Linked DNA regions of Diceros bicornis minor. The protein of the gene in region 1 interacts with the protein of each later gene in a pairwise test. Links are inferred from orthologs where the notes say so. Each region holds a gene or a part of one and is shown in the gene's direction. Other genes may lie near its edges. The genes, in order: LHX9 and KHK.

Region 1 (3,906 bases):
GCGGGCGCCGAGCTCCCCCGGGGCCCGGAGCTGCTGCCCACATTGACAAGTTTCAAGCGGGACTCGAGAATCGCCAGCAGTTTTCCTGCAAACCTGAACTGGGTGCGGGAACACTTCACCCCATGGTCATAGTTCAGTTGCATACTCGCGCCTACAAGTCCATGCCCTGTCCTCTACACTAATTTTGCAAAGAAAATCTTTTTGCCAAAAGTATACTCCAGAAACATGGGCTCTCCTTCTCTGCTTTTCACCTTGGGGGATGCTCCAGCCCCTGGTAGGGCCGGGGGCGCTTGGGGAGAGAAGGCGATTTACTTTTAAAAAGTGAGTTGAGGAAGAGGGGATGGGGAGGAGAGGAATATCCGTCCAATATTTATTCATTTGGGGTCCCCGTAAGTCTGGTTTTGTGGACCAGAAAGTCCACAGAGAGGAAACCCAAAGTTTGGAGGTGCCGTTCTCTATGTCTTGAGCCGGGGTCTGATCTTGAACTTGGACCCAATAGGCCGGCTCTCTGCCTCCCGCACCCGGGCAGGGACAATAAGGGCTCCTTCCCCCTTTAAAACGTGATTGCTGGGAATTCTTGGAAGGATATGTGGTTGTGTGTGTGTGTGTGTGCGCGCGCGCGCGCGCGCGCGTTGGGGGGAAGTAAATGCCCCCTCCTCCTGCCTGCCCCCTCCACCCCCCCCCGTAATGTTTGTCCCCGCTCGCCCATCACCAGGGGGTTGAGAGGAGTATGACAGGTCTTTGTTGTCTGAATAAAAATCCGTGGCAGCTCCGGGGAGAGAACTCCTCCTACTAAATTATCAAAAATGGGCTGGCTTTAGTCTCTTAACAAATTGGACACAGCTACGGCAGGAGCAGTCCCCAACCCAACCTACAGGCACTGGGAACCTTGGAGCAGCCAGGGACCGCTGAAAATAGCACTTCTTTTTCTTTCTTTGTGTTCAAAACTATTTTCTTTCTTTCTTCACCAGATTTTGTTGTCCTCCCCCGCTGCAGTTGTTTCCCATTAGTAACTCGATCTCTCGGAGCAGTAAGATTCGCCTTCTCCCTCTGCTCTCCCCTCCTCCGTGTTTGTTTGTTTTCTGCACATCTCCTTCAGGGAGCCGCTGGGGCTCCCCCCCCTTCTTCTTCTTTTTTTCTTTCCCGAGCAGACCAATTTCCACTCCGTCTGCCTCTTTCTTCCTCCCTCTCCCTCTTGCCCTCGGTCCCCGAGCGTCTCTGTGCTGCTCCAGCGCGCAGCACTCCGCGGTCCCTTCTGCTCCTGCACTCGGATGAGCTGAGAGCCCTGGGCGTGTGTATATGGAAATAGTGGGGTGCCGAGCAGAAGACAACTCGTGTCCTTTCCGCCCCCCAGCCATGCTCTTCCACGGGATCTCCGGAGGCCACATCCAAGGCATCATGGAGGAGATGGAGCGCAGATCCAAGACCGAGGCCCGCCTGGCCAAAGGCGCCCAGCTCAACGGCCGCGACGCGGTAAGGAAGGGCCCCGGGGTGCGGGAGCCGGCCCCCTGCGCGCCCTGGAAGCCGAGCCTCAAAACCCGGCCGGCGAGTTGAGGATGGCGGGGCATGGGGCGGCCGCTCCAGGCTGGCGGGCGGGTTTTCTCAGAAATAGCTCCCTTTCTGACTCGAAATGTCACCACTACTGAGACCCCGAGCTCGCTACCCGCTGCCGCCGCGGTTCCCGGGAGAACAGGGCGAGCCGGGAGTTAGAGGACGGAGTCGTCCTCTCCTGCAGATTTCAGACTCCGGGCTCCGGCCCCCTGGACTCCCGGGCCTCCCCGGCGAGTATCGGCGGCCAGAGGGTGAGCTGCGCGCGGCCGGGGCGCCCGGGCCAAGCAGGAGCCCGGGGGACTCTGGTCTCTGGGTCTGATGGGAACCTTTGGAATGGACTCGGACGTCACTGGGCTACCTCCGATTCTCCGGAAGCTTGGAGCTCGGCACCCCCAGACCCAATGATTTTCGGGGTCTCTGGCAGCCCAGCTCGGCCCCTCTAGCGAGACAGGATTGCGTTCAGCTCCCGGGCCGGGCGGGTGTAATGTGTAGAGGAATCTAATGAAAAACCCGGAGGAGCGGGGCAGCTAGACCAAGTGCGAGGAATGTCTAACCCTTAAACGATGTAATCAACCGCGGCTGTTACTACTATTCATAAGAATAAAAGTCACATCTGCTTAATAAAGAAAACCAATTAATAATCTATGTGCTTCCCTTTCCCACTTACCAGCCGGAGGGGAAAAACTAAAAAACTCTCTGGAAATGATTTCAGCCAAACAGAGCCGTGCAGATCCTTTGGCATCACACCGGATCTGCTAGCTCAAACTCACCTGGTAGCCTGCCTGGGCACGTCAGGGGGGTTTGGGGATTTGGGGTTCCATCAAGTAGCCCAGTTGGTAGATCTTTCCACGTTTGCAACATGAATTCAGTGCGGGCCCTTGGTTTGAGCAAAGGGGGAAACTTTACTTTTCCAGGCCCGCCAAAGTTTCGTGGAGAAGTCCAACCATTTCTGCTAGTCTTCAGGGACATGTCCAGCGGTTAACTTCTTTTTTCCTCTTTTGTGGCTATCCCGTTTAAACACAAAAAGCAGCAACCCAAACCCGAATTTCGCAGTGGGGCTGGGCTCATCAAGGTGAGGTTTCCCCATCCTCGGCTCATCATTCGGGAAGCAGGCGGGAAGCTTGGGCGTTAAACAGATTTTCAGGACAAAGATGTCCTGGGTGTGTTGATGCCAGGGAAAGAGGGACTGTACCGAGGGCACTGGACAACAAACCCTCCCTGGGGAACAGGCTCTTTATACTCCTGCCAGGAAGAGGACCAGTATCCTCGAAAATTAGAGAATAGTAGATCTGCCAAATATATCCGATCAAAACAGTGTCGACCAAATCATGAGCACAGGCATAATCTCTCCCTTCCTTTTAATTTCAACGCTGCTTATAAGAATGTAGAGAAATAGAATTGTAATAGTGTTTGTTTAAAAACAATTCGTGCTCATTCAAATCTCCTTTCCACTCCTCAATAACAATTTCCGTGGTTTTATTTTGTGTGCGTTGAAAGCCACATTTTTTAGCCTGTAATTATCCGAGTTCAGAAACATCCACGAAACTGTAGTCAATGCGCTCCTACTCCTTTTTAAAAGAGGCTTGAGATGGCCGGCTTCTCTTTAGGTGAACAATCCCGGGAGGACGGAACGCCGGTTGGGGCAGACACCCCAGAAAGGGGGTGAGCCGCAAAGGGGAAAATTGCAAACGTGTCCCCGATGTGTGCCTTTGCGCCGGGGCCCCGACCCTTGCCGCGCTCCGGACGCCTGGGCTCGCGCCGTGCGGCCCCCGCGCGCCCTCGTCAGCGCGCGGTCTGCTTGCCTTGCAGGGCATGCCCCCGCTGAGCCCCGAGAAGCCCGCTCTGTGCGCAGGCTGCGGGGGCAAGATCTCGGACAGGTACTACCTGCTGGCTGTGGACAAGCAGTGGCACCTGAGGTGCCTGAAGTGCTGTGAATGTAAGCTGGCCCTCGAGTCCGAGCTGACCTGCTTCGCCAAGGACGGTAGCATTTACTGCAAGGAGGATTACTACAGGTACTCCCACCCCTGTCTCTTACGCCCAGTACACCTGGCGCGGCCACCTGAGAGCCCGAGCCCCCTCCTTATGCCCCACCTTTCGCCCGTTCGGGGAAGGTTATCATCCCGAGACATGGGAAGACCCCTGCAGACCCTTCAAGCTGCACCCCCGTCCCCCGAAGGGCGGTGAGGATGGGTGGAAGGGACACCCAGGTTCAGAGCGGCATCAGTGCACACCATGCGCTCCCGCACTGCGCAGCCGGGTTGAGGGAACCTGGAGAAATCCGGGACAGTAAAGGAACGTGTCTCCGCCGACCGAGACGAAAGAGGTTTTTTTTTCCGTTTACTACGAACTGAGCAA
Region 2 (3,906 bases), on another chromosome or scaffold:
CGAGACCCCTGTTCTTTCCTTCACTTATTCATTCTCACTATAGCTTGGGCTGAGGGGTGGGGTGGGGAGGGGAGGAGCCATAAGTTCAACAGCTCTTTATTGGGGGCCTGCTCTTGCCCAAGCACTGTTTCAAGTGCTGGGGATGGGTAATGAACAAAACCCCAAATTCCCTGCCCTCCTGCAGCTGACATTCTAGTGGAAGAGAGGAAAAGACCTAGCGGGTCCCTCCCTAGTCCAGGATTTCTGGGTGGGCTCCCCGATGCCTTCCTGGTCCCTGCCACCTGTTCCCCCTCCTGACTGCCATCCTTGTCCCCAGGTGTATTCACGGCGCCACTGGCTGGCCGCTACTTGCTGAGCGCGGTGCTGACTGGGCACCGGCACGAGAAGGTCGAGGCTGTGCTGTCCCGCTCCAACTTGGGCGTGGCCCGCATCGACTCCGGTGGCTACGAGCCCGAGGGCCTGGAAAATAAGCCTGTGGCCGAGAGCCAGCCCAGCCCGGGCGCCCTGGGCGTCTTCAGCCTCATCCTGCCCCTGCAGGCCGGGGACACAGTCTGCATCGACCTGGTCATGGGGCAGCTGGCGCACTCGGAGGAGCCGCTCACCATCTTCAGCGGAGCCCTGCTCTACGGGGACCTGGAGCTTGAACAGGTGTAGACAGGGGGCCGGGCCAGAAGGGCCCGAAGTGTCTATGCCGGCCAAAGAGCCAGCAGGGGCGGTGGGCTCTCCCGGGTCCCCGCCTGGGACCGGGCGCCGTCCTGGCACCCCAGCCCCGGGCGAGCCGCCGTCTCCGGACCCGCAGCGGCACAGGCGACCAGAACAATCTCTCCGCGGCTGGAGCGCGCCGGGTCGGAGACTCCGGGGTCCCCTCGTCCAGACTTTTGGCCTGATCGCGGTCCCCTGCAGGACCCGGACTGCAGAGGAGCCGATCCTCACGCCCTTTGCTCCCCAAACTGGCCCTCTAGGCCGATTCCCTGGGCTCCAAGGCTCTCCCGGATAGGCTCCGGCCACCACCGCCATACTAAACTATTCAGGAATAAAGACACTTGGTTTTTTCTAAAAAAAACAAAACAAAACAAAACAAACCGTCTGCTCCAGTATGTGTTCAGGGGTGGTTCAGGAGTGCACAGCGGACGGGGAGGGAGGAGCCCCGGGTTCCGGACCCCGCTCGCTCCCCACCTCTCTGCTGGGGGTGGCTCTGCCCACGCTTGCTCTGGACGCGCGGGCGGCGAGGTGCGCCGGCTGCTGAGAGCCCCAGCCGGGCCCCGCTCCCCGTCACGCCCGTTCCTCCCGCGTCCGCCAGGGGGCGTCGGGAGCCGAGAACTCCGCGCCGCGGGGCGTCGTCTCCCGTCACGTGACTGCCGCCGCTCACCTTGCGGGCCCCGGCTGCTCCGCGGCGGGGGCGGGGCTTCGGGCTGGGATTGGCCGGGCCTCGGGGGCGGGCGGAGCTGCCGCGACCGCGCGAGCCGAGGCATCGGCTGCGGGGTCCCGGCTGCAGCTGCGAGGCCCAGCTCAACCCCGCCGGTCTAGGGTCTGGGTTGGGAGCTGCCAGTGGAGGAGAGGGCGGGGCAAGGGGCGTCTTTCTATTGCACTTTCTCTTTGCGTTCATGAGGTTGCCTGGCCGCGCTTTAGAGAGGTTTGCATTAGCTCCGAGTCCGTCTGACAAGTGAGGAAACTGAGGCCGAGAAGTGGGAGGCGTTGTCATCTGCTGGGTCACGCAACCTGCTAAGAGGAGGCCGGGGACCAAGACCTCGGGGTCTGCGCTCCCAGGCCCGCTTGGGTCGGTGGGCGTGGGGAGCAAGGGCCTTGCGTCGTTCCCTCCACCCAGCTGCACCCCTCGCCGCTGCAGGAGGCTCCCTGGAGGAGGAGCTCCGGACGCGGAGGAGGAGCCAGGGCAGCCCCGGGAGCGGGGACACAATCCTCCTTGATAAGAGGCAGAGCCCGAGAGGAACCCCGTCAGCCAGTTGGGCAGAAAGCTCCGGGAGCAGCCTCATGGAAGAGAAGCAGATCCTGTGCGTGGGGCTGGTGGTGCTGGACATCATCAATGTGGTGGACAAGTACCCGGAGGAGGACACGGATAGCAGGTAGGGGCGCCCGGGCCCCTCGGAGACCCCAGGGGCTTCTGCAGCCCCGTGTTTGTTCCCGGCAGCCAAGACTACAGGGCCGCGGAGCCGGGAGCCCCGCAGTGAGGCCGTGCGAGTTCAGCCTCCTCGGGAGCCGTGCACGGTGCCCGGTGCCCTCTGCCCAGGATCTGGGGAAAGAATTGGGGCCTTTAGTAATAAGACCCAGGCTTTGGATAGCATTGTGTTCACCAGTTCCCCTTTCAACCCTGGGACTGTGTCAGGCATTATTATCCCCATTTTACCCACAAGCAAGTAGAGACTGAGAGATGAAGTGATTTCCCCAAGGGCGCGCAGCTAGTACGGTGCTTGTTAACAAGACCTGTGCACTTGCCTCTCACTAGCGTTTACTTCTAATTTATTTACCATATATATAACTCATCTGTTTCTAAAAAAAAAATTGAGGTAGCTTACGATGAGAAGTATGTGCAGTTAGACTGTTGAAGAACATTTAAAACCAGGGTATTTGAGCTTCACTATAGCTCGGAGCTTGCTGGCACTGCAGGCAAATTTGGAGATACTATGTGTTATGGATAGAGGTGGTTCATGAGCCACGACAGGCTTTTCCCTGGTGCTAAATTCCAAAAGGAGTTTATCAGAAGTCCTTTTTACAAAAGTCAGTGGACAACATAGCAGACATCCTTCTCAGTTGTGAAACTGAAGAGTCATTTGTTGGTTCTTATATTCACTCTTGATGAGAATCACACCATTACACTGTAATTCCAAGAAGGCATTTCTCTGGTGTAGAATACGAGGCTTTCTCTTGGTGCAGTCTAGTGCTTAGACTACTGAGAACGATTGCTCCTTGGCTCTCAGTTGTCTCAGCCAAGAACTGGATAAAAGGCTAGTTTAAGATTGATTCGGGGAAGACACTGCAGCGCCAATAACCATGAGGCTAATTGAGGGGAGAGACCCGGGCATTCTTCAGGCTTTGGGTCCACCCTGCATGGTCACATGAATCGTTACATACTTTTCCCAAGGCTGAAGGGAACTTCAGGGTTAAGTTTTGTGTACAAATATACCTTAGCTTAAAAATTCCGCTTCATTTATTTCTCTTAATTAGTGGTTCTTTGGTACTTGCTCCTCTTATTGTAAGCTGCCACAGTTGTTATTATTATTCTTTTTGCAGCTGGAAGAATAGAAGTAACAGCCTGCACTGTTTACCTCACAGTATTATTGGAGCACAAATGAGAAATCATTAAAGTGCTTTGACTATGTATGCATAAGTTATCATTTTCGTTGTTGATGATGACAATGAAGCCCTTCAGGTGTATCTTGAGTTAGTCTCCTTTTATTAGATTTTCAGTAAAGATGGAGAAAAACTAAAGAAAAAAAGGTAACTATGTGAGGTGATGGATGTGTAACTAACCTTAATGTAACCATTTCGCAATATGTACGTATACCAAATCATCACTCTGTGCACCTTAAACTAGAATGTTATATGGCAATTATATTTCAATAAAGCTGGAAAAGAAAAAGGAAACAAACAAAAAGATGGAGAAAAACTGGTCTCCACCCAATAATCTTTTTAACTTTTGGCATTGACTAAGTTAGCTTTCCTCCACTTCTTCAATGGTCACAGCGTCCAGGTTTGCTTCCTGTCTTACTCGTTGTAACCGGCAGTTGTTATTGAAGTGGGCTCTCCTAAGACAGGAGCAGGTAGCAGAGTTGACACCTTTGGGAAGAGGCACCTGGAGTTATCCAGCTCTCAAGGAGGAGGCTGAAGGTACAGCAGCCCTGCCTGGGGAGAAGTGGGTCATGGTACCTGAGGAGGAGCTAACCCAGAGTG

What was found.
Region 2: the proteins of LHX9 (region 1) and KHK interact in binary tests that used the Homo sapiens proteins (3 or more experiments, as listed by UniProt). The two-hybrid records come from large-scale screens. The link is inferred for Diceros bicornis minor from reciprocal best matches to the Homo sapiens genes LHX9 and KHK.

The regions. Positions count from the first base shown.
Region 1 is NC_080777.1:26,690,168-26,694,073, forward strand, and holds the start of LHX9 (LIM/homeobox protein Lhx9), read left to right. Parts: upstream 1-1,196; 5' UTR 1,197-1,299; coding exon 1,300-1,473; intron 1,474-3,360; coding exon 3,361-3,563; intron 3,564-3,906. UniProt on the Homo sapiens protein: Involved in gonadal development.
Region 2 is NC_080751.1:55,730,646-55,734,551, reverse strand, and holds the start of KHK (ketohexokinase), read left to right. Parts: upstream 1-1,473; 5' UTR 1,474-1,989; coding exon 1,990-2,081; intron 2,082-3,906. Other genes in the region: EMILIN1 (EMILIN-1), read left to right, coding at 317-654. UniProt on the Homo sapiens protein: Catalyzes the phosphorylation of the ketose sugar fructose to fructose-1-phosphate.